Linked DNA regions of Lytechinus pictus. The protein of the gene in region 1 interacts with the protein of each later gene in a biochemical or structural test. Links are inferred from orthologs where the notes say so. Each region holds a gene or a part of one and is shown on either strand. Other genes may lie near its edges. The genes, in order: ADP-ribosylation factor-like protein 2; retinal rod rhodopsin-sensitive cGMP 3',5'-cyclic phosphodiesterase subunit delta-like; tubulin-specific chaperone D-like.

Region 1 (7,626 bases):
TCTAGACTGAACAGAAATGTAAAACAGCTGAAAAAACACAACAGGCCTCTACAAATTTTTTTTTCATCACTTGCCCTGTCGGGCAAGTGATGAAAATATTTGCTTGCCCGATAGAAAAAACTGCTTGCCCAATTTGTTTTATTATTTTCTTTCGTTCTTTTTTACGACGGTACTATTATTATTTATGAAGGTCATATAAAATAAAAACAATTGAGAATCATGTACAGTAAAGAACACACATTTATAATTATAAGTATATTTTCAGCAAAGTAGGCCTGAGTCATTACGTTTATTTTGAAGAAAAAAACTTTTGCTATAGTACTAGTAGATCTAAATGGGCGTTAAAGGTATAAAAAAGTTTAAAAAAAAAAAAAAAACTTCCCCAAAAGTTGCTAAAATTTCATATTTTGCATCTTTAAATCCATGAATGGTCATCTGTTTGCCACATTTCCTGGGAATTGTTTTGATTTAGTTGGAAACTATTAAGAAAATGAAGAATATTCAGCTCTTTCTTGATTCTGGAAAAAATCGTTTTATGATGTAAAAAAGAAAAGAAAAAAAAGGCCTTCACCAACTGGAGTGGCTAAAATTTCACATTTTGCATCTTTAAATCCATGCCAATTATTTTCCATATTTCCTTGAAATTGTTTTGATTTTGTTGGAAACTATCAAGAAAATTAAGAATATTCACCTCTCTCTTGTCTTTTCATCATCGTATTATGATGTTACACTCGGTCAATATTTTTTTATATTGTGGTCCCACATGTAGACTTTCATGGTGTTGCAACATTAACACTTGTTCAACACCATGAAAGTCTACATGTGGGACAACAATAAGAAAAAACATTTACCGAGTGTAACATCATCAAAATCAGAGTCAAGAAAGAGCTGAATATTCTTCATTTTTTCGGTTGTTTCCAACTATATCAAAACAATCTCAAGGTAATATGGAAAATAGACGTCCATTTCATGTATTTAAAGATTAAAAATGTGAAATTTTAGCCACGTTTGCCTTTTTTTTTTTTTTTTTTTGGATAGTAGCAAGATAGTAGCGCATGCGCACATAGAACGTAAGATGAGATGGCACGGTTCTTCGAACGAGGTACCTGGCGATAAATTATCTGTATTTGGCGCTGATTTTACATCAGTTTCCACTGTTTTTTGACTGGTTTGACAATATATGAGAGATAGCATGGACAGTTGTGATTATCACTGACATTTTATTATTTTATTTTCAAAACAACCACTTGCCCGATCGGGCAATTGACTTTGAGAAATGCTTGCCCGCCCGTCATTTTCACTTGCCCCGGGCAAGCGGGTTTGTCGCGCCCTGACACAAGTTAAAGGAAATAAGCAAAATAAGAAAATGACAAAATAACCATCTTACATGAGCAATAATTATCATGGTCAAAGCCTGTCTTTAGTTTCGGTAAATCCCCAATTCATTAATAGCTAAAACATGAAACCTCTTCCAAAGCATGGAATGAGCAGAAACTCTGTGATATATTTCTGTGACTATGATTATTGCTTTCAAATATTCAATAATCAAATTAATATGATAAGTGCTGAAAGACCCATCTTTATGAGAAAAAAATACAGAGAAAGGGCACCAGATATTTCAGATTTGTCTTGTCTTGTCTTTCTGTTGATGCCCACAATCAAAGTGTTGATTATTATATCAAAGTTGAAAAAAGTTGACTTGATATTGTCTGGGATATCCTACTCTACTGTTGAAAGTGAAACATTTGATTTTTTTTTTAATAGGTGAAGTCTAGACAGCTGGCAGCCGTCTGTTTCCAGGAGTGTTTAAACATTTTTAATTTTTAATTTCTCCTCGTACACAGACGGCTCGCGATCTTGCAGCCGCCATTAGGGGGTAAACAATGCAAAATCCCCCCCGATGGGGCACATCAATTTTTGTCTTTATTTCATAAAAATATGTAAAAAGAACTGGGCCAAAATAAAGATTATTATTCCGTTTTGGCCTGAAATGCACCAAAACGGGAAAAATGAACTTAAAAAAGGGGGGAAAAACAGTGACTTACTTCGGCTGTCGTGCAACTCCACTTCCCTGGTTTATCCGAACTTATACATAAACATATGGCTATTGAGTCCCTGTACAGATGGAGTTAGAACTTCGGTCTATGTATTAGGTGAGTGGAGCCAACGTAGCTGTTCAGCGGAACAACCAATAAAAGACCGAAGCTTTTTGGTCTAGGTGAAGTCTAGATCTATTTCAAATTTCCTCAGATTCAGAGAATATCAGTAGACAGTTGGAAGATTTAACTATGGCCTCTACACTTCAGTAAGATTGGTATGATATAATTCATATTCATTAATGGCCTTTTGAGTTTTTGACAGGGCTTGTTTTTAGTTTTAAATGAAAAAAAATTATTTGCTGAACTCAGTCTTGCTCAACAGTCAAAAGCATTACCCAATTGGGTTTCAAAGAAGAGGAAAGGAGCACAACAACAACAACAACAAGGAGCTCTGATGTAGATAAGATGATTAATGATTTTAAACATACTTTAAAAGTCAGTATGAGTGACTCTAGTCTAACTTAGTTTAATAGGAAGTTAGACCTAACTCACCCCTGTTAAATCAAATGAATGGGACCGAGCTGGAATTCAAACGTTATTTTGGAGGAAGGCCCCCTAACTCATTAGACCTAAAATCCAGACCAATATAAATCTACCTTATTTATATTACTTAATAAAGGATACAGCATGAGGATTCGCATCTCCTTCTCCTTCTGTCTCATCTTCTTTAGAATTGTTAGCAATCCCATTCCCAGTGATTATCTCTCAAAAACAAAAGCGAGTCAAAAGCTCTTCTTGCTTGCAGCGGCAGTAGTTGCACACAATTTGAAGAAATGAATATTCATATTGTTAATGACGTCATCCACATTGACTACACGTGAGCAGAAATGAAGACGAAAAACATGAAAAAGAAGATCAAGACCAAAAATTCCACGACTGATGTGAATCAGAATGATGATGTATGTACCTTGATTACTTTTTATAACACTAATGATATTTTGAACCGTTCTCTAATGCATATTTAGCCCAGTGTAATTCAGTTTGTTGCACAAAATTATTTTGTGATGTCCCATAAATTAGATTGTGTGTGTTGTTTGACTTTACAGTCGATGAGCTAGGCTAATCTTGTGCAGAACTTAGTAGATTTATATTTTATAACCTCGTCCTCGTTCGTAGGATGAGTGTGCAGTGGTGTGATCGCGGTCTACGTCATTCGAGATTTTATTAGTGAGATTAGACCAAAAGCTTCGGTCTCTATTATGTTAGTTGTTCAGCTGAACTCCGTTGGCTTCACTCACCAAATACAGAGACCGAAGTTCTAGCGCGATCTGTACAGGGGACTCAATGCCAATGGCCATGATGGCCATGGCATATGTTTATGTGTATTAAGTTCGGATAAAACAGGGCAGTGAAGTTGCGCGACAGCCGAGGTAAGTCACTGTTTTTGTTCCATTTAACTTGATTTTCCCCGTTTTTTGGCAATTAATGCCAAGCCCAAGAGGGAATATTAATTTGCATTTCGGTCGCGTTAATTTTCAAAAGTTTGATTCATTAAAGACAAAAATTTAAGAGCCCCGACGGGGGGATTTTGCATTGTAAGTCCCCTAATGGTGGCTGCACGATAGCAAGCCGTCTGTGTATGAGGAGAAATTTAAAAAATAAAAAAATGTTAAAAAACTCCTCGAAACAGACGGCTGCCAGCTGTCTATATATATAGTGAGATGAGCAATATGATCATGTTCAGGGTTAACCCAGGCACATAGAACTTTCCCCATAGGCACACAGTAGACGGATTCCCTGCACGCTGATTGGCTGATCGCGCGACCCTCTTCCCTTCCTCGCCCAGCGCTGTGTGTGAGAATCTTTACACCGCGCGATCGGCTGACTCACGGAGCACAACACTCTGTAAAGATGCCAGCGTGTAGATTTCGGGCGCATGTTCGGATGATATCGGCACTTCGGCAGGCAGTGTCCGAAGTCTAAGCAAAACATGTGGTTTTCATCTGGTTACGCAAGGCCGAAGGCCGCTTTCATAAATTGTATTTGCATAGAGTACAGTGCACAGCGTATTTATAATGTACATGTATACTTGTCTGTACTGAATTCTGCGTTGCCCCCGCGATAGATGAATTTCCTGGTAGACTGCCTTATGATTAGATGCTTGGCGCAGACTTCATACATGTATATTAATGTCCTGTAAATTAACTTTGTTTTTTAATAGAATCATTTGATGTTCTAAAAGAGTGTATTTGTAGGATGTTTGAACCCTGAAAGGCAGTACATTTTATTAGAGCATATTATAAGTTGTATTTTCTGTGTGCTTACGAGAATTCATGTACTTGTGACACTTTGTCTGGAGTGTGGGAGTGCTTCTAGACTAGCATGAGTCTACCCAGTTGTATGGACAGGTAGTGTGTCCGGACGATCAATTTTAGAAAGTCATTTGGAAAAATTTACAAGCGAAGTTTCATCAATTTTTAATACAAGATATTAGGAAATATTATGGAGAACAAGATGATTACAACCCTTGAATTCATACTTTTAGTGTAATGCAAAGACAAAAAAGAAGGCTTCAAAAATATAGTGTCCGGACGCCCAACCCCCCCCCCCCCATCCTACAGCTACGAGAGTGAGAACGAATGTGACGTGATTGTGTGTTATAATTTTCATATTCTATTTGACTTAATTGTTGGTTTATAATTCAATTATTTTTCATTAACTATTTGACAATTTTCTGTTTTGCTGGACAATATCATTATAAGAGTTTGAGTTAGTGCTGTAGCCGAACCGCCGAACCGAACGGTAGTTCGCCGAACATGGCACTTCCGAACCGAACAGAACCGAACCGAACACTAAGACTTGGTTCGGAAGTTCGGCAAAAAAAAAAAAAAAACGGCTTTCAGCTAACAAATTTATAAGTTTACACCCTTTCTAATCATTATATTTGCGCATTCTCTATTTAATCTTCTTTGCAATTGTATGTTGGAAGTACGCGCTTATTTTGCGGTTACTAGATTTTGTTTTCATTTTCATGTTGACATTGTGGTTTTTACGGCCCTGATTAAGAAATGAGATCCGATGAATGATGTTGCGCGAGCTTGCGCTATAATCATTTTACTGGCTTTCATCATCTCTCGCTCTGTGGCCGAATCGCCGAAGCATGGTAAAGAAAACCAAAACTGTATGAGTGTTCATTGGTTAAATCTAATTATCTAAAATATTGTTGTTTTTAGGTGGCGAACAAGATTCTTGTTTGAAAATCTTCAAAGTATTTTGAATGAACGAGCTCAATAAACCGAAAGTGAAAGATGAAGTACCATTAATATTACGAATTACGATACGATGTGATTAAGATCGTAACTCGTGTATTGTTGCGGCGGCGCGGAGAATAAAGATCTGATTGAGATGATTGACATTATTATTGAGGTGTCGGCTCGCTACAGTACTGTCTAGTTTTCATGATTTTAGAGAGAAGTAAAGAGTTTTGAAAACGAGAGATCCAGTGAAAGTGGGAAATAAAGTGAGTGACTGTTACAGATGAAAAGGAGAGACGCAAAACAAATAATATAGAAATGAGATGAGGTGAAGTTATCTTTTTTATTATTAACAATCAGATGAAAATAAAAATCAAACACTCATGAATGATTACGGTATAGCATATAGCAAGATCCACTTCCCCTCGTTGACAAGTTGAATGAAGATAAAGCCATGCGGAAACATTCATCTCTTGGGGGGAAATGACCCCCAATCTTTACTTTTTTCCCCTTTCTTATCAACTTCTCAAATTAACCATAAACAATTCGATGATCACTCTACTCCCCCTGTCCAAACTTTGCATCCCACTTGGTCTGTATGTTCATGGTCGAATGAAATCTGACCAATGAAATCATAGAAATCTCGGGAATTGCTCTTCAATCAGTGAGCTGAGTTTCGCGAGCAGACAAAGCACGTGGCTGTATGTACCGATGCGACAATCAGCGACATGCGATTGGTGGTTTAGTTCACCCATCGAGCCAATTAGCGAAAGGCGCATTACATAAGCACGCTTTCTTCGACACGCCCCTGGCCCTACTATGCCTACAGTTCAGTGCACTGCATGCACTGGCGCTGGCCGCCTCGTATGTGATGCAATTGCCAATCACGTTTGGCCGGACTAGACTGTATAGTATATAAATATTCATGAGCTCAGAGTCCCGCTACAAGGGGACTGCATGCGCTGGCCTAGCTGGTACGGGTACGGTACGAGTGCGATCGCGAGCGTAGTTAATTTGGCAAGTATCCAAAGTGTGGTCCAGGTATGGACGACTAGGAAGAGTCGCAATTTTAGAACTGTGAGTTACCCAATAAATCTGTCATCAGATAATCAAATTCGAGATAACAGTTGATTCGTTGAGCGCTATAACTTTCATAGTTTCATGTCAACAAGATAGAGATAAAATGGTTTGATGTGACAGAGGTACGCGCGAGCACATGCAGTCAATCAAGTACAAATTGTCTACCGGTACGCTACGTATACCTGAATGAACTATAGCTTATCAGTCTATCATTACCGAACCCCGAACCGAACCAATGTTCGGCAAATTTCTGCCGAACCTTGCCGAACCGAACCGAACCCGAACATGGCGCCTGACTTGCAGCACTAGTTTGAGTATTCAATATCTTTGTATTATGCATTTTTACTCGAGCTAAGGTGTTTCATCAACTTTCAGACAGGAATCTTAGAAATCAATTTTAACAGAAAATATTTTTTTATCTAAAATTGATTTTACAGGAGATATCAAAGTGATTGTTTACAGAAAGGTGGTTTAATCAACGATCTAAAATGGGATTATTTAAAATTCACAATAGTCATATAAAATATATTTTCTATATTAAAAAATTATTTTCATTGTCAATATATTGAGATTGATGAAACACATGTAATTACAATGACTGAAATGTTTTTAACAATATTAGAGCTAGTATTATTGTTCTACTGAACAATTCAATAAAGATATTGAGCTATTAACTTTTTGTTTATTTGTTCATGTTCACGAAAATATTATAATTTTGCATTTTATTGGAAAATGAAATACTCTCCCTCCCCATACCCTCTCCCCCAATTCCCCCAGTCCTAAACGTTGTTTACAATAAATGGTTATCATTTAATACCAATATAGGGTTTTTGGTGGTTTTTCCTCACTTCGATGTGCTGAGAAAATAGAAATTCCAAAAAAAGGGGGTAGACTCCGATCTCCCTGGTCTAATCATGGACTAATTTATATCTGGATGCTGATGGTAATGTAATTTTCTTACCCATTTTGAAACATGGTGCATAATAATGGAATGTTTATATTAGATGACAAGAATATATCTGACCTCTATTATATCAAAGTGCAAACAATATCTTATGTAATAGCTTTCAGGCTTTAAATGTCACAGCCACGGCAATGGTGACATTTCATGAAATAATTGTGAATGTATTTATGAAGATATCGTCAGTACCTAACAATGTAAATAAGATACCGTATATGTAACCGTATGTTATCTATGGTGATTGGGAAATCTATACCTTGGATCGGGAGGGGTACGTGATTCAACAGATTCC
Region 2 (7,063 bases), on another chromosome or scaffold:
TGATTAGCTGCAATGGAATCAGACAGTGTCAAACAATCAAGCATTTGTTCCAAAGAAAAAGAGAAAATAAACCAAACATTGCCAACCTTATTTTGCCACACATGGAGTACTAAAAACAGAACAAGGTTATAATTATATCATACCCTTGTTCATTGAATGAGTGGGTCTAATGAAATATTTTCAATTTTTTGATAAAAAATCTAGATCTAGGCCTAGCCCTAGATAGTAGATCTAACTTAGGCCTAGTCAGATCTAGATTAGAATCTAGGCTAGACCAAACGCTACGGTCTCTGTCATACTGTATTGGTTGTTCCGCTGAACTCCGTTGGCTCCACTCACCAATTACAGAGACCGAAGTTCTAACTCGATCTGTACAGGGACTCAATGGCCATATGTTTATGTATTAAGTTCTGATGAACCAGGGAAGCGGGAGTTGCACTACAGCCGAGTCACTTTTTTCCCCTTTTAAGTTTATTTTTCCCTGATTTGGTGCATTTCTGGCCAAAAAGTAAAAATAATCTTTATTTTGGTCCAGTTCTTTTTATATATTTTTATGAAATAAAGACAAAAATTGATGAGCCCCGTCAGGGGTATTTTGCATTGTTAACCCCCTAAATGTGGCTGCACGATCGCGAGCCATCTGAGTACGAGGAGAATTTTTTTTAATGTTAAAAAAACTCCTTGAAACAGACGGCTGCCAGCTGTCTAAATCTACACAAGACTTGGAATGAAATACCTAGATCTAGTACAACTTACAAGTCAAGTCTAGAATAGTCGCCTAATAAAAAGATTATAAAATGGCTTACATGTATCTGTAGTACTGAACGATAAAAAGTGTTAAAATTCATAGGAAAAAAAAGAAAGAGTTCATATGCACCCCCACCAAAAATAACAAGATTGTTGAGACTTCTGGTTTGTTCACTTCAGATTTTTCTATCATTTTTTTACTGTTGCTTTCCTTAGTTGGGACTCACCTCGTTTTATTTGCAGTCAAGACCGTTCCCGCTATGCTAGTGAGAAGCGCCGATACCGGAAGTGGTATTTTAACGATTATCAAACGATAGTTCGACTAGTCTCGACTCACAGACCCTTACTGACTAAATAAACCGATGTCTATGGACAATTACACGCACTAGATCCTGCTCGAAATTTGACGGAATAAAGCCATATTTTGGTATGTATTTCCACTCCCTCATCACATAGATCTATGTTCTATATTTAGGGCTAGATATATTATTCTGAACCTTCTCCATGTTTTTATTTTCAATTATAGTGGGGGTGCTATGGAACTCTTACCCAAAAAAATGGCCCCCCCCCCCCCACGCCCAATCTGATTCTGACTTAACCCAGGGAGCTTACCGTGTATTTGACCATACTCACGGGACTAGCGTGATTTATGGTCTAAATATTTCTCCAAATGAATTGTGAAAACAGAAATTATGCACTTACATGTAGGCCTACCACGATTATATGGATGAAGGTCTAACGAGTGGCAGTTTCCTGACAACGAGGCACAGACTGGAACTTCAAAAAAACGAAAAGTTCTCTCCTTCTACCCCCGTCTCAATCAGCCATTTTTGTTATGAATCGTAACAAAATGGCCGATCGAGACTGGGGTTGAAGGAGAGAACTTTTCGTTTTTTTGAAGTTCCAGTCTGTGCCTCGTTGTCAGGAAACTGCCACTCGTTAGACCTTCATCCATATAATCGTGGTAGGCCTAAGTGCATAATTTCTGTTTTCACAATTCATTTGGAGAAATATTTAGACCATAGAGCCCAGGGGCTTACCGAGTAATTCGCCATACCCCACGGTAGTAGCGTGAGGTATGGTCTAAATCATTTTAAGAGTAAATAGTTAAAACAGAAATTAAGCACTTACCACGATTATATGGATGAAGGTCTAACGAGTGGCAGCTTCCTGACATCTAGGCACAGAGTGACAGACTGGAACCTCAAAAAACGAAAAGTTCTGTCACGGTAGCTTTCCTTCTTTCAGAATTCATAGCAAAATGGCTGTTCGAGACCGGTACCGAGGGTGTAGGGCGCATGCGCGAATTTGACAAAGTCTATATGCGCTAGTGCTATAGCCTCGGTCTCGATCGGCCATTTTGTTTTGAATTCTGAAAGAAGGAGAGCTACCGCGACAGAACTTTTCGTTTTTTGAGGTTCCAGTCTGTGCCTCGATGTCAGGAAGCTGCCACTCGTTAGACCTTCATCCATATAATCGTGGTAAGTGCTTAATTTCTGTTTTAACTATTTACTCTTAAAATGATTTAGACCATACCTCACGCTACTAGTACCGTGGGGTATGGCGAATTACACGGTAAGCCCCTGGGCTCCGGCCTGCTGCGCGGGCCGGAGCTCCCTGGGTTAGCTAGTCCCGTGAGTATGTGATTTGGAAAAGGATACACTTTGAAACCTTTTAAAATATCTTCTGCTCTACTAGGCATTTTGACTAAGGGTTCGTTGCAATTTATCTCAAACTGAAAATAACATTCAAGATCCAAAAATACGTCTTCCAAATTCCGCAATAGGATGTCAATGGGCCGGTGAATTCGGGCCACCACGCAGGCGCAGGCTCGGCAGACGGCACAGCCACAGGTCGGGTCGAAGCTCAATCCACGGGGGTCCTCTCGTCGTCTCGATCAGGCAACAACGAAAACTTAAACGACGTAGATGTAGATCTATACAAGTGTTTTCTTCAATTGGTATCAACACTGTTTTTCTGTAAGATCGTTCCAAAAAGCACAGTTGGTTATTCACAGTGGCCCATATCCTTGTACCAAATTGAATAAAACGTAGACTTGATATTGATGGTAGTCGACCGGTCGATGCTCAACTCCATCCCTTATTTCATGCATTGCATACTTCCTTTTTGCTAGCTGCTATAGGTAAAACAATCTCTAAGTTTAATCCATTACTTTGTACACAAGTCTACGTATTTCGGGATTCAGATTGTATGAAGTTAGCAGCTAGCTTTCTGCAGCGTTAATGTCACCCGGTAACAGCCGCATCACTCTAAACTATATCATTCCGCTTGGATCGTTTTCGTTTTATTTATAATTTTCCCAATTATGAGGTAAAATTTTTTGAGAAAATGATCGTCAGATATTTTTTTATTGAATAAAACCCAATATAATTTCTAAATACATTGGGATTTAGTATCCAAACCTGCTACATGGGATTATGTTTCTGTGTGTAAACAGGGTGAATTGATACTTAAAATTGCGCCAGTAGATGTCGCTCGTTCTAAATACTAAAAAAACTATATAGAGTGGATTATTGTAACTGGGATCTTCCTCCTCCTCCTCCTCCCCCGGGGGGGGGGGGGGGGGAGTCAAATACTACTGTACACATGCGTGACCAAAAACAAACGCGTATAAAGGGGTGGTTTTTTTTTCAGTTTTGGACACGGGCCGCAGGATCAAAAACACCGATTTTTAAGAAAAAGGGTGGTTTTGAAAGACTGGTCAATGGTCAATCGCGATTGATTTGGTAGTGAAGACCTTTTTTTTGGTTGTCAAAATTTTCCTGTACAAAATGCCCCCAGGCTTTCGGAGAATCCTCGATCCGTACCTGATATACAAGGGGCCGCGGAACGGTTGTGAAAGTGGGGGGGGGGGCTGACCATGCAAAAAATCATAATCAGATGGTAATTTTTACGTTTTTGTACACGGTTTTTGAAAAAAAAAATCTGAAGCCCCCGGCCCCCGCAGCCCCCCGTTTCCGCGGCCCCTGTATACAGTGCGTCCCAGAAAAAAAGGAAACCGTGATTCAGTTTAAAGTTTTTCCTATCATGATCATAAATTTGCTTCATAAAATGTACATGAATGGAAATATTATGCTTTCGATCTTCTTTGAATTTTTAGACCCATCTTAACGTTCATAATGCTCGCATGAGTGAGTTAGAACGATAGAAAATGATGCTATACCACATTTTCATTTGCACGAGCAGATTACGATTTTGGGTGAATTTTTTCTTTTTTTACTGCTTTTACTGCTATCTATTCGGAAATATCCACCTTTTCCTCTTTCATAATGAGACCTTATGCGTAAAATATGAATGATGCATGCATTGGCCGAGAAAAGTTGCACGAATTCGACTGATCGTTTGAAAAACAAGCATTTCGTTTTCCCATCAAAGCAGAAGACAATATAGGCTAACGGTGAATACTGTTCGGGCTAGGAAAACTCCCTTCATTGTTGCTGACCTGAGTCTATGGCTACGGGAATTCAATGTTACAATCGCAATAATTTTCATATTTTCTTTTCTTTAACTTCCCCAGTCGTATAATTCGTTGTTACATTTCACAGGGGTGGTAGACATAATTTAAAAAGTCCACAAATAATAGGGGGGACATTTGATATTGGGTGCCCCCTTTCCAAATGGTAGGGGGAAGCGCCCCCTGTCCCCCTGGGATTTCCGCCCATGTGCAGCACAACTCTCTATGGTGCAGAAAGCTAGACATGAGAGTGACATGGAAAAGATATAGTCATTTGAGCTGTGGGTCTGTCTGGCGCAGAATGCTCCAGGTCAGGCGGAGAGAGGATAATAATAATGATGATGATAATAATGATGATAATGATAATAATAACTAATAATAATATCATTATCATTATTATTATTATTATTATCATTATACTACTACTACTACTACCAATGATAATAATAACAATAATAATAATGATAAAGTGAAAGTCACTCTTGATCCACTCTTGATCCATGCAATTTAGAGTGCTTTGATATAGGATTGTAGTGTTAATTTATATATTTTACTCACAGAGGTTTATTTATTTTGTTATTATTTTTTTACTTTTCTTTTGTTTGTTTATTTTGGCTGTTTTTTCTTAATAGTTTAATGGGATATAGGCCTATCCTTTTTGTAATAAAAAAAAACACTTAAAAATAGTGTTGCAATCTTTATATTCTCTAAATTTTAAAGGATTTAAAATAGAACCAGGGGTCCGTTGCAGAAAGAGTTGCGTTCAAACGCAAGTCAAATAATCAATCGCAAGCCCATCGCAAGTCCCAAATGCGCGCTGTTGATTGGTTGAAAATCAAGTTGCGCATGATTTTTAGAGTTGCGATTGATTGCAACTCTTTCTGCAACGGGCCCTGATCTGCTATGAATATAGTGGTTACACTTCGTAATTCCGAAGATTCTTTATTCCGAAGGTTCGTTATTCCGAAGAATCGTAATTCCGAAACACGTAAATTGCCTATACCTCGATGTTCGTTAATCCGAAAACGAAAAAGGGTTCGTTAATCCGAAAATTTGTAGCGTTATTCCGAAGATTCGTACTTCCGAAGGTTCGTTAGTCCGAAAACGAAATAAGATTCGTTATTCCGAAGGTTCGTTCATCTGAAAACGAAATAAGGTTCGTTGTTCCGAAGGTTCGATAATCCGAAAACGAAATAAGGTTCGTTAATCCGAAAACGAAATAAGGTTAATCGTTTTTCGAAGGTTCGATAATCCGAAAACAAAATAATGTTCTTTATTCCAAAGAAGAGTATAAGCGTGGTGGAGGGGGGGGGGGGAACACCGTTGCTGTTCAATTGTTATGAGGATGTGGAGGCAAAAAGAAGAACGGCGGAGCAAAGTAGAGCAAAGCCTTTTTTAAAGAGATTTCTGATTATGGTAAGATATATATTTAGGCTTTATTTTTCGCGAGAGAGTGTAACAAGCGAGCGGTTTGGAAAAGTTTTCAAAGCTGATGTTGTAAAGCTCGTATTTTTGTCAACTGTCAATAGGGCATCCTTGAAAGGTGTTGCGAGCGTAAATCGCAAGCTCAAACTTTTGGACATTTCAATAAGAAATGAAAATAAAACATTCTGAGCAGTTTTTGCAATCATTAAAAAGATGTGCATCTAACTGAAGAATTAACACGAGCGCGAAGTGCCAGCCGAATAATGACCAGAAAAGGAACCTGTTAATTAAGGACATGCGTTTAGTGACTCATGAATAGGATACATCGAATAATGCGAGTGCGAAGCGCGAGCTAATAAGATATTTTAGTTTGCAAACTGGACATTCTAAGCCTTTTTATAACCGAAAATGGTGAGTACCTCACTAAACAATGAATGATAACAATGACCAAAAAATTGGGATTTTCTAATCTAAAATGAAAAATGTATACTTTAAAAAGGGTATTTCATAAAAAAAAACGGCACATTTTATTTTGGAAAATACAAGGGAATTTCCCATTTTGGAAAAATAGTATTTCGTTCCTACGGGGTTTATTATTGTTAGTTTTTTTTTGGGGGTGCAAGTGCCCCCTGTGCCCCCCACCCGCTTTCACCGCCCCTGGGGGAAGGGGTTGATCAATCGTTATCAGGGGCGTTTACGTACGCAGAATTCTCTGAAAGGGATGATCATAGGCTTATGAGGCTATAGTTCATGTTTTCTCTCATTGCTAGACCTGCAAATTTATTTGATTATTCATTTTATTTATCCAATTTAAACGTAAATAAAGGTACATGATACAAAGGCGCAAGGATCAAACTGAGCATGTTTACGATAAGTACAACTTAAAACACAGACTACAGAACATCAAACAAATAAAATATAAATGCATTCAAAGAGAAAACTACTATTAACCTATTAACGAAAACCAGTATGAGAGCAGATAGAAGTTATCAAATCAAATATCGATAGGGGCGCGTTGATACATTTTTAAATTGTTTTGTCAAAGTTGAAAATGTCTATTAAAAGATCCATTCTTGATTAAAATGTTTACCACTTATAAACCCAATTTTTTTAATCGCTCTGCGGGGGGGGGGGGTTGATTGTTTCTACCAGAATAGGGGTGATAAAGACCCCTTTTTTGTCTTTTTCTTAACATTTTCGGATTAACGAACCTCATTTCGTTTTCGGACTAACGAACCTTCGGAATTACGAACATCATTTCGTTTTCGGAGTAACGAACCTTCGGAATTACGAACCTTATTTCGTTTTCGGACTAACGAACCTTCGAAATTACGAACCTTCGGAATTACGAACCGTCGGAATTACGAACGTTCGGAATACTCGAACCTTCGGAATAAAGAAGTGTCGGAATTACGA
Region 3 (7,382 bases), on another chromosome or scaffold:
CTTCATTTACTTTTTAAAAATCTTGATATGAAATATGTGAAATCACTTGTTGATTGTCATTCATGACATTAGGTTTTTGTTCACAGCTGATTTACAAAATTAATGTTAAAATCAAAGGGCAGCATGTTTATTTCATTCTTATTCTAAATAACCACTTTCTACCACTCTATGACATCTTACCTTGAAACCAAAAAAGCAGCAGCGTCTCGACATTTATCGCTCATCCCAAGATATACCTTTAGAAAAAAACAACAGCAAATATTAAATGAAATGAACATATTGTATCATCTTCAAACACAGGGGATTGATTAATGGTATACGGTTTATCATAATTCAAAAACATTGATTTAACTTGAAACGTTGCCACCCACTAACAAAGAGAACTGTTCGATTTGCAAGTCAACATAATTATCTTCTATACAATTCAGCATGCATCTCCCTTGTCCGAGTCTTGTGCAAAAGCATGCATAACATGGATTTGTTTTCACAAATGTCAAATGTACATCATCTGAAATCAAAGGAAGCATGCATCAAGATTAATATATCCTGAGCTAAGGAGACAAGCTGCATTTTGAAAGATATTGCATAATTTTGTGTACAAAACATATTGAGATTTCTAAAGCCATACCCATCATTTTGAAGCAACATTGCCAATCTAAAATCACTAAAGAAAGTAAATTGATACTTATGTGACTATAATTACTTTCTCATTCCAAGAATAATTCTGACGGAAATAATTAAAAGTATTCTCTCTTTGCTCTCTGCTCATACCAGATTTCATTCTCTTTTAATACTGACCTTTGCCACATTGAGTATCCTGTCCATAGTAGGTAGATTCTTGATCTGTTGGTCACCTGCTCCGGCCACACCACTGTCCAGTCTGGACATATCAAATGGTATCATGCATATCATAGACATCCACAGTAACAGCATGTAACGAGACTCCCAGGTCTGGAATTAAAAAAGTGGATGTGCTAATCATTACACGATGGTCAGTTACCTACATAATACGCAAATATAACACTTTTAAATCTGGATTTTGCTTAGTAATTTTCATAGAAAAGATGAATATTTTCAAATTCCATTCAAATAATAAAAGAAATCAGAGAAAGAGGTATTCAATCTTAAACAATAATGTTAATGTTTTGGATGGTACATGAAGGTCACCTAAAGCCCAATCCAGTTTTAGGGAGATGTTTCTCCAAAAAAGAAACCTATATGCCGAGAGACAAATATGTCACTATGACAGAATACATAAATTCTGGATTTGTATGCAAACATGGTGATACTTAATGGATCAACATTCTACTACAACTCAAATAGTATTAAGCTTGATTTCAAAGCATCTCTCATAACTGATAACTTGGTTTAAGTACCTTTTCTATAATTGATTATGAAATTAACAATCAGATATTAATGATTTCTTGTCGCTTGTCGCTTTACTTGACTTGACAGGTACGTTTTCCAATGGATTAAGTTGATACTGTAATTTAGCTATATAGACTTGGTACAAAAATATGCATGTATATTCATGAAGAAAGCCCCAAGCTGAAGCATCAATAACCGTCACCATATAATTCTGACAATTATCGTAAAAATACTTTCACTAATAATACCTCATAATCATTAGGATCTTGAGCACTAAGAAGAGCTAGGGTGGGTTCCAGATCCACGACCTCATGGGGTAACAGCCTCACGATGACCTTTGGTCCACGGGCCTGCAAAGAAAGGTGATTTATTCATGCAATACACATGGGCAATTGACCAGGAAAAGAATACAGTGTATATTCTGGGCCCCGTTATTGTTGTCATCATTATAATGTGCTTTTTCTGTTAGGCTAAGAGCGCTTTATACAATGAATCCAATGCATACAATGCATGGAACTACATGTATATCATCTTTAAACTACAGGCTTCTATAAAAGAGATGGGTTTTTAAAATATTTTAGTGCCTTTCTGAAAACAGGTAGTGATGGAGACTGACTAATTGTAAATGCCAAATCATTCCAATTTCCAAAACTGACACGGTTTTTTTCCATTGTGAAAACTTTGCCATCCAATAGTAACTTCCAAGGAATCCTCTTGTTTGATTGGCTGTTGTTTACTACTATCATGGTACTTACCACTGGAAGGCATTATTACTATGAACAGTAACTACAGTATACAATGGAACCCTGCATGAATATTATTTTTACCACACGGACTGTAAATTCAATAAAAATACATTTATGTAAGCCATAAAAGGAAGGTTTCTTTACGAAGATTATACATTGGGAATAACCAAAATATTCAACTTCTGATCAAGAATATGAAGAAAAATAGCAGTAATAACTTTCACATTCAAATTTCCACTACAAATATAAAGGCATACCTACGAATCACATAAGGGCATATCATATAATAATGGGCAGGGATAAATGAGAAATATATGGTGGTGCAAGAATAATTATTTTTCTATGAATGCTCATAACTTAAATATTAGCTCAGACCAGCTGTTTGTTCATGTTGTTTGCATTGTTATGAATCACTTTATAAAAATTTGAATTATGGTAAGCTTAATGTGATATATTTTCAATTGTATTGTAAACATTCTTTACTACTGTCAACCCTTGTTAATATGAATACATTTGATAGCAAAAGAAAGTATATTATTTTTCTTAATATATAAAATCACACTATGTTAAATAGTCAAGAGAATTCTGGGGGTCACATTATAGATTATAATCTAGATATTCATTGTAATTTTACAAAGAGTTTTATGAATCATGATCCTATTCTGCTCATCTAATATCTGGATGGATCGTTACCTTTGTGAGTAGATAGAGGAATTTGAAGGCAAGATGAGAGAGCTTCCTGTCGACATTCATATCTCTACCAATGGAGAGGAAGTCCAGGACCATCTCCTCTAGGTACGGGTCCAGTAAATGAGGCTGCTCCTGGTATTCATCCACTATCACTGAAAGTAGGAAAGAAAGTGTTGTTCTGGCTCAGTGGATTAGTCTCTGGACTCTGAACCACAAGATCCAGGGTTCCAATCCTGCCACAATACTTGCACACTTTGGCAAGGTGTTTATATACATTTCCCACTCTCCATCCAGGGTCCTGTTGCATAAAAAATACTATTATGGTAACTCTGCTATACAATGCCAACTTTCCTGAAATCCTTGATTTTGACTGGCCGTTGATTAGCGTTAATATTATGGTAGTCACCACTGGATGGCAAAGTTATTACAATAGTAACTTATATGCAACGGGAACCAGGTGTAGTAAATGGGTACGTGGTAGGAAGGAATTCCGTGCATGCTTGAGCGACAGACAAGAGTAGCTCAGTGAAAGTGGCTATTCACTGAAAGTAGGAATGAAAGTGGTGTTCTGGCTCAGTGAGCGGATACATCTCCGGACTCTGAACCACAAGGTCCAGGGTTTGAATCCCACCGCAGCACTAGCGTACTTTGGCAAGGCGTTTATCTACAATTGCCATTCTCCACCCAGATGTAGTAAATGGGTATCCAGAAGGAAGAAATTTCTTTAAATTTCTTAGAACGCCTGATTAGAGTAGCCATGCTTAAAGGGATGGTCCGGGCTGAAAATAATTATATCTTAATACATAGAGTAGAATTCACTGAGCAAAATCGGATAACAAATTACAAAGTTATTGAAGTTTAAAGTTTAGCAATATTTTGTGAAAAGTCGTCATGAATATTCATTAGGTGGGCTGATGATGTCACATCTCCACTTTCCGATTTCTTATGTTATTACATAAAATCATAATATTTTCATTATTTCATAGTTGTGTGAAAAATATGTCTCCCTTATAATGAAATAAGTTGCAGCAATCAATATATAATGCACTAAATCAGTTGTCAATCCAAAATTCTAGTTCTTGGAGGAAAAAAAATTGAATAAACCTAATTTCATATAATAATATACAAAAGAACAAGAGGGGATGTGACATCATCAGCCCACCTAATGAATATTCATGACGACTGTTTTCACAAAATATTGCTAAACTTTAAAATTCAATAACTTTGTAATTTGTAATCCGATTTTGATGAAATTTTCGGCATTTTGGTCAGTGAATTCTACTCTATTTATTAAGCTATAAATACTTTCAGCCCGGACCATCCCTTTAAGCTAGGGTAATAGCATGCAGCACTTAGAAACAATGTATAAAGCGCTATATAAATGCTGCATATTATTACTATTCAGGGAAATGTGCCAGATATTCATGAACAAACTCTGTTAAAATCTACTCAAGATAAGATATGACACCAAAACTAAAAGATATGACACCATACAATGTAAATGGCAATCACACTTAGGCAATTTTATAGGGCAGTTCCATCAAATTCTGCTGGTGTACACATCAGAAGACTTTTCCATGTCACTGACCTTAACAAGTGAAACACCTCTGGTAGTCTCGCCTGCATTATGCGAGCTCAGCAGTGCTGACTTTCAACAAGTGGAATGCCTCTGGCCGTCTCACCTGCATCACGCGATTCAATATAGCAGCAGTGCTGATTTTGAAAACTACTATAACTCGCACAAGATGTTCAGTGATACTTGGTTACTCTTATTTCCACGTTTTATGAACTAGACCAATACACTTATAGAGATATGATGGCAATTCAACAAATACCCCCAACGTGGCCAAAGTTCTTTGACCTTACATGACCTTTGACCTTGATCATGTGACCTGAAACTCGCACAGGATGTTCAGTGATACTTGATTACTATTATGTCCAAGTTTTATGAACTAGACCAACACACTTTCAAATTTATGGCTGTAATTCAACAAATACCCCAATTTGGCCAAAGTTCATTGACCCTAAATGACCTTTGACCTTGATCATGTGACCTGAAACTTGCACAGGATGTTCAGTAATACTTGATTACTATTATGTCCAAGTTTCATGAATCAGATCCATAAACTTTCAAAGTTATGATGGTAATTCAACAGATACCCCCAATTCGGCCAAAGTTCATTGACCCTAAATGACCTTTGACCTTGGTCATGTGATGTGAAACTCATGCAGGACGTTCAGTGATACTTGATTAACCTTATGTATAAGTTTCATGAACTAGGTCCATATATTTTCTAAGTTATGATGACATTTCAAAAACTTAACCTTAGGTTAAGATTTTGATGTTGATTCCCCCAACATGGTCTAAGTTCATTGACCCTAAATGACCTTTGACCTTGGTCATGTGACATGAAACTCAGGCAGGATGTTCAGTAATACTTGATTAACCTTATGGCCAAGTTTCATGAACTAGGTCCATATACTTTCTAAGTTATGCTGTCATTTCAAAAACTTAACCTCAGGTTAAGATTTGGTGTTGACGCCGCCGCCGCCGTCGGAAAAGCGGCGCCTATAGTCTCACTCTGCTATGCAGGTGAGACAAAAACAACTGTTGAATAATTACTCACATAATACACCATTCCTATGATAATAGGAGTGGGCTATACATGTGTCAAAAATACTTTTTGGTCATTTTAGTATGGAGTTTTTTTTTATTCCTTGAAATTTATCTGAACATGAAATGATATTTTTTGTCTCGGGTCCAAGAAAAAAGTGTGCTTGGCCAATTTCCGAAATGGCCGCCAAAGCATACCTGCCAACCTTTGATAATAAAAAATCAGTATCAAAGTTCCGAGGGCACCGAGCGGGTGTCCGGTCCGCTCCAACGGTATAGGGACTCTTTGCATTTTCAGCATGTAAAAGTAGCATTTCCCTACACTTTTTAAAGCAAATTTACCCTCATTACCACATCAGAGGATGACCTACATGTAGAGTCTACCTTTATTTATCAATTAAAAATTTAAAAAAGGTCTTTAAAATATCACTTTTGTGACATAAACCACCCAGTTTCATTCAGGTGTGATATATCTATATAGACTTAGGGATAATTTTTCTTGTTCATCAGAGCTCTCTAAAAACTTTGATTTTGAGCATATTTTTGTGAGGCCCTCTATTGGTGGAAAGTGAGATTGATGCAGATCTTCATCTCCACACATTCTATTTTCAATTAGACAAAAAAAATAATTACAAGATTTTATGATGAATTTAGATAAGTTATCCCTACTGTATTAAAAACTGACAAGCCAAAAAATCAAACATTTATTATCCAGCCTATCAATCATGCATCAAGAGAAAATAAGCCAAACATTGACATTGTCTTATTCATGTTATTTCACCACACAGGGGTTACTGACTGAGGACAAGGTTATATCATAACTAATGATAACCTACATTTGATAAGTGCTTGTTGGTAGAAGAAAGCAGATTTTCAACCATGAAAAAAACGGAGCGCTGGTATAAGACGGGGAGGCTGAGGCGCAGCCACTGGGCGGGCGCCGGGAGTTCAGGCATGGTTTAGGCAAGCGAAGCAAGTAAAGTAGATTTGGCGTTCGGCTCTGAAGGCTCAACCCGAGATCGAAAGTTTATCATCTTTCTTCCTCAAAAAATTGACAATTATTCGAAAAATAAAGTACAGATCAATGTTAAAATTGCGTAGGGATAGATCTAACTTAATTGCGTCGGTACGCGGCCGGGCGGGGGCCGGTGTTCAACGACCTGCCGTTCATATCATCAGCAGACTCAGCGATATACCACTGTAATCACCAACACACTCTAGATATGTACGATACATCACTAACTCACTCCCACACTACAAAATCATCCGGCGACATGGGCAAAAACCTCAAATAAAAAGTGAAATTTTCTTACCTAAATCACCTTGTTTCGCGTCAAAAATATCACCATCGGTGATTCTTAACATCGTAGTTAGGAAACAAGGGGTCTAAAAAGGTTACTCTTTCACGGTTTTTCCGATGTTCGTGGATTATGAAAACATGTCCTCACTAAAAATTGGCTCTTTCGCTAGCCAATGTCAGCCGCCATTTTTTTCCGGAAGTCAACGCTAACGACAACACCTCAAAATGTAGCGCCCTAAGTGCTGCCATTGCGTGTATGCTTGTTAATTTTCACATGTATTTGCAATGGAACTGCGCACTTAGCAGTGTTCGCGCGCCGTTTAAAGTCGCTCTCTGTGTATATCGTGTAGCTAGCGCATTTGCCTAGCCGTGCGCTCCAGTCGTTTATGCGTTAGTCGCATCTTACAGCCGTGCATGCGTTAGTCGCATTATACAGCCGTTTCAATAATTTCAACACTATATTGATTAACCCAAAAATCAGAATTTTGGTTTTAAAATTTGGAATGGAGGTCGAAAAATCAGTATAATTCCGCCAAAATCGGAATGGTTGGCAGGTATGCCAAAGCCCTCCAAAATCACACTTTTGGCCACACATTCTTTATTTGGTTGTCTTTTTCTCTGCTTTTGTTGTCTATTCATGCTTTGGGGGCAGACAATTTGTTTT

Evidence for each region.
Region 2: the proteins of ADP-ribosylation factor-like protein 2 (region 1) and retinal rod rhodopsin-sensitive cGMP 3',5'-cyclic phosphodiesterase subunit delta-like are reported together in a solved structure, tested with the Homo sapiens proteins (2 studies listed by BioGRID and IntAct, with this or other methods). The link is inferred for Lytechinus pictus from reciprocal best matches to the Homo sapiens genes ARL2 and PDE6D.
Region 3: the proteins of ADP-ribosylation factor-like protein 2 (region 1) and tubulin-specific chaperone D-like form a complex in vitro, tested with the Homo sapiens proteins (2 studies listed by BioGRID and IntAct). The link is inferred for Lytechinus pictus from reciprocal best matches to the Homo sapiens genes ARL2 and TBCD.

The regions. Positions count from the first base shown.
Region 1 is NC_087251.1:47,611,083-47,618,708, reverse strand, and holds the start of ADP-ribosylation factor-like protein 2, read right to left. Parts: upstream 3,045-7,626; 5' UTR 2,999-3,044; coding exon of another isoform or gene 2,927-2,998; 5' UTR 2,789-2,926; coding exon 2,724-2,788; intron 1-2,723. Other genes in the region: CCAAT/enhancer-binding protein zeta-like, read left to right, coding at 2,927-2,998. UniProt on the Homo sapiens protein: Small GTP-binding protein which cycles between an inactive GDP-bound and an active GTP-bound form, and the rate of cycling is regulated by guanine nucleotide exchange factors (GEF) and GTPase-activating proteins (GAP).
Region 2 is NC_087258.1:10,978,791-10,985,853, reverse strand, and holds the start of retinal rod rhodopsin-sensitive cGMP 3',5'-cyclic phosphodiesterase subunit delta-like, read right to left. Parts: upstream 3,004-7,063; 5' UTR 2,450-3,003; coding exon 2,409-2,449; intron 1-2,408. UniProt on the Homo sapiens protein: Promotes the release of prenylated target proteins from cellular membranes. Modulates the activity of prenylated or palmitoylated Ras family members by regulating their subcellular location.
Region 3 is NC_087254.1:25,699,587-25,706,968, reverse strand, and holds the start of tubulin-specific chaperone D-like, read right to left. Parts: upstream 3,039-7,382; 5' UTR 2,901-3,038; coding exon 2,808-2,900; intron 1,719-2,807; coding exon 1,617-1,718; intron 952-1,616; coding exon 799-951; intron 237-798; coding exon 181-236; intron 1-180.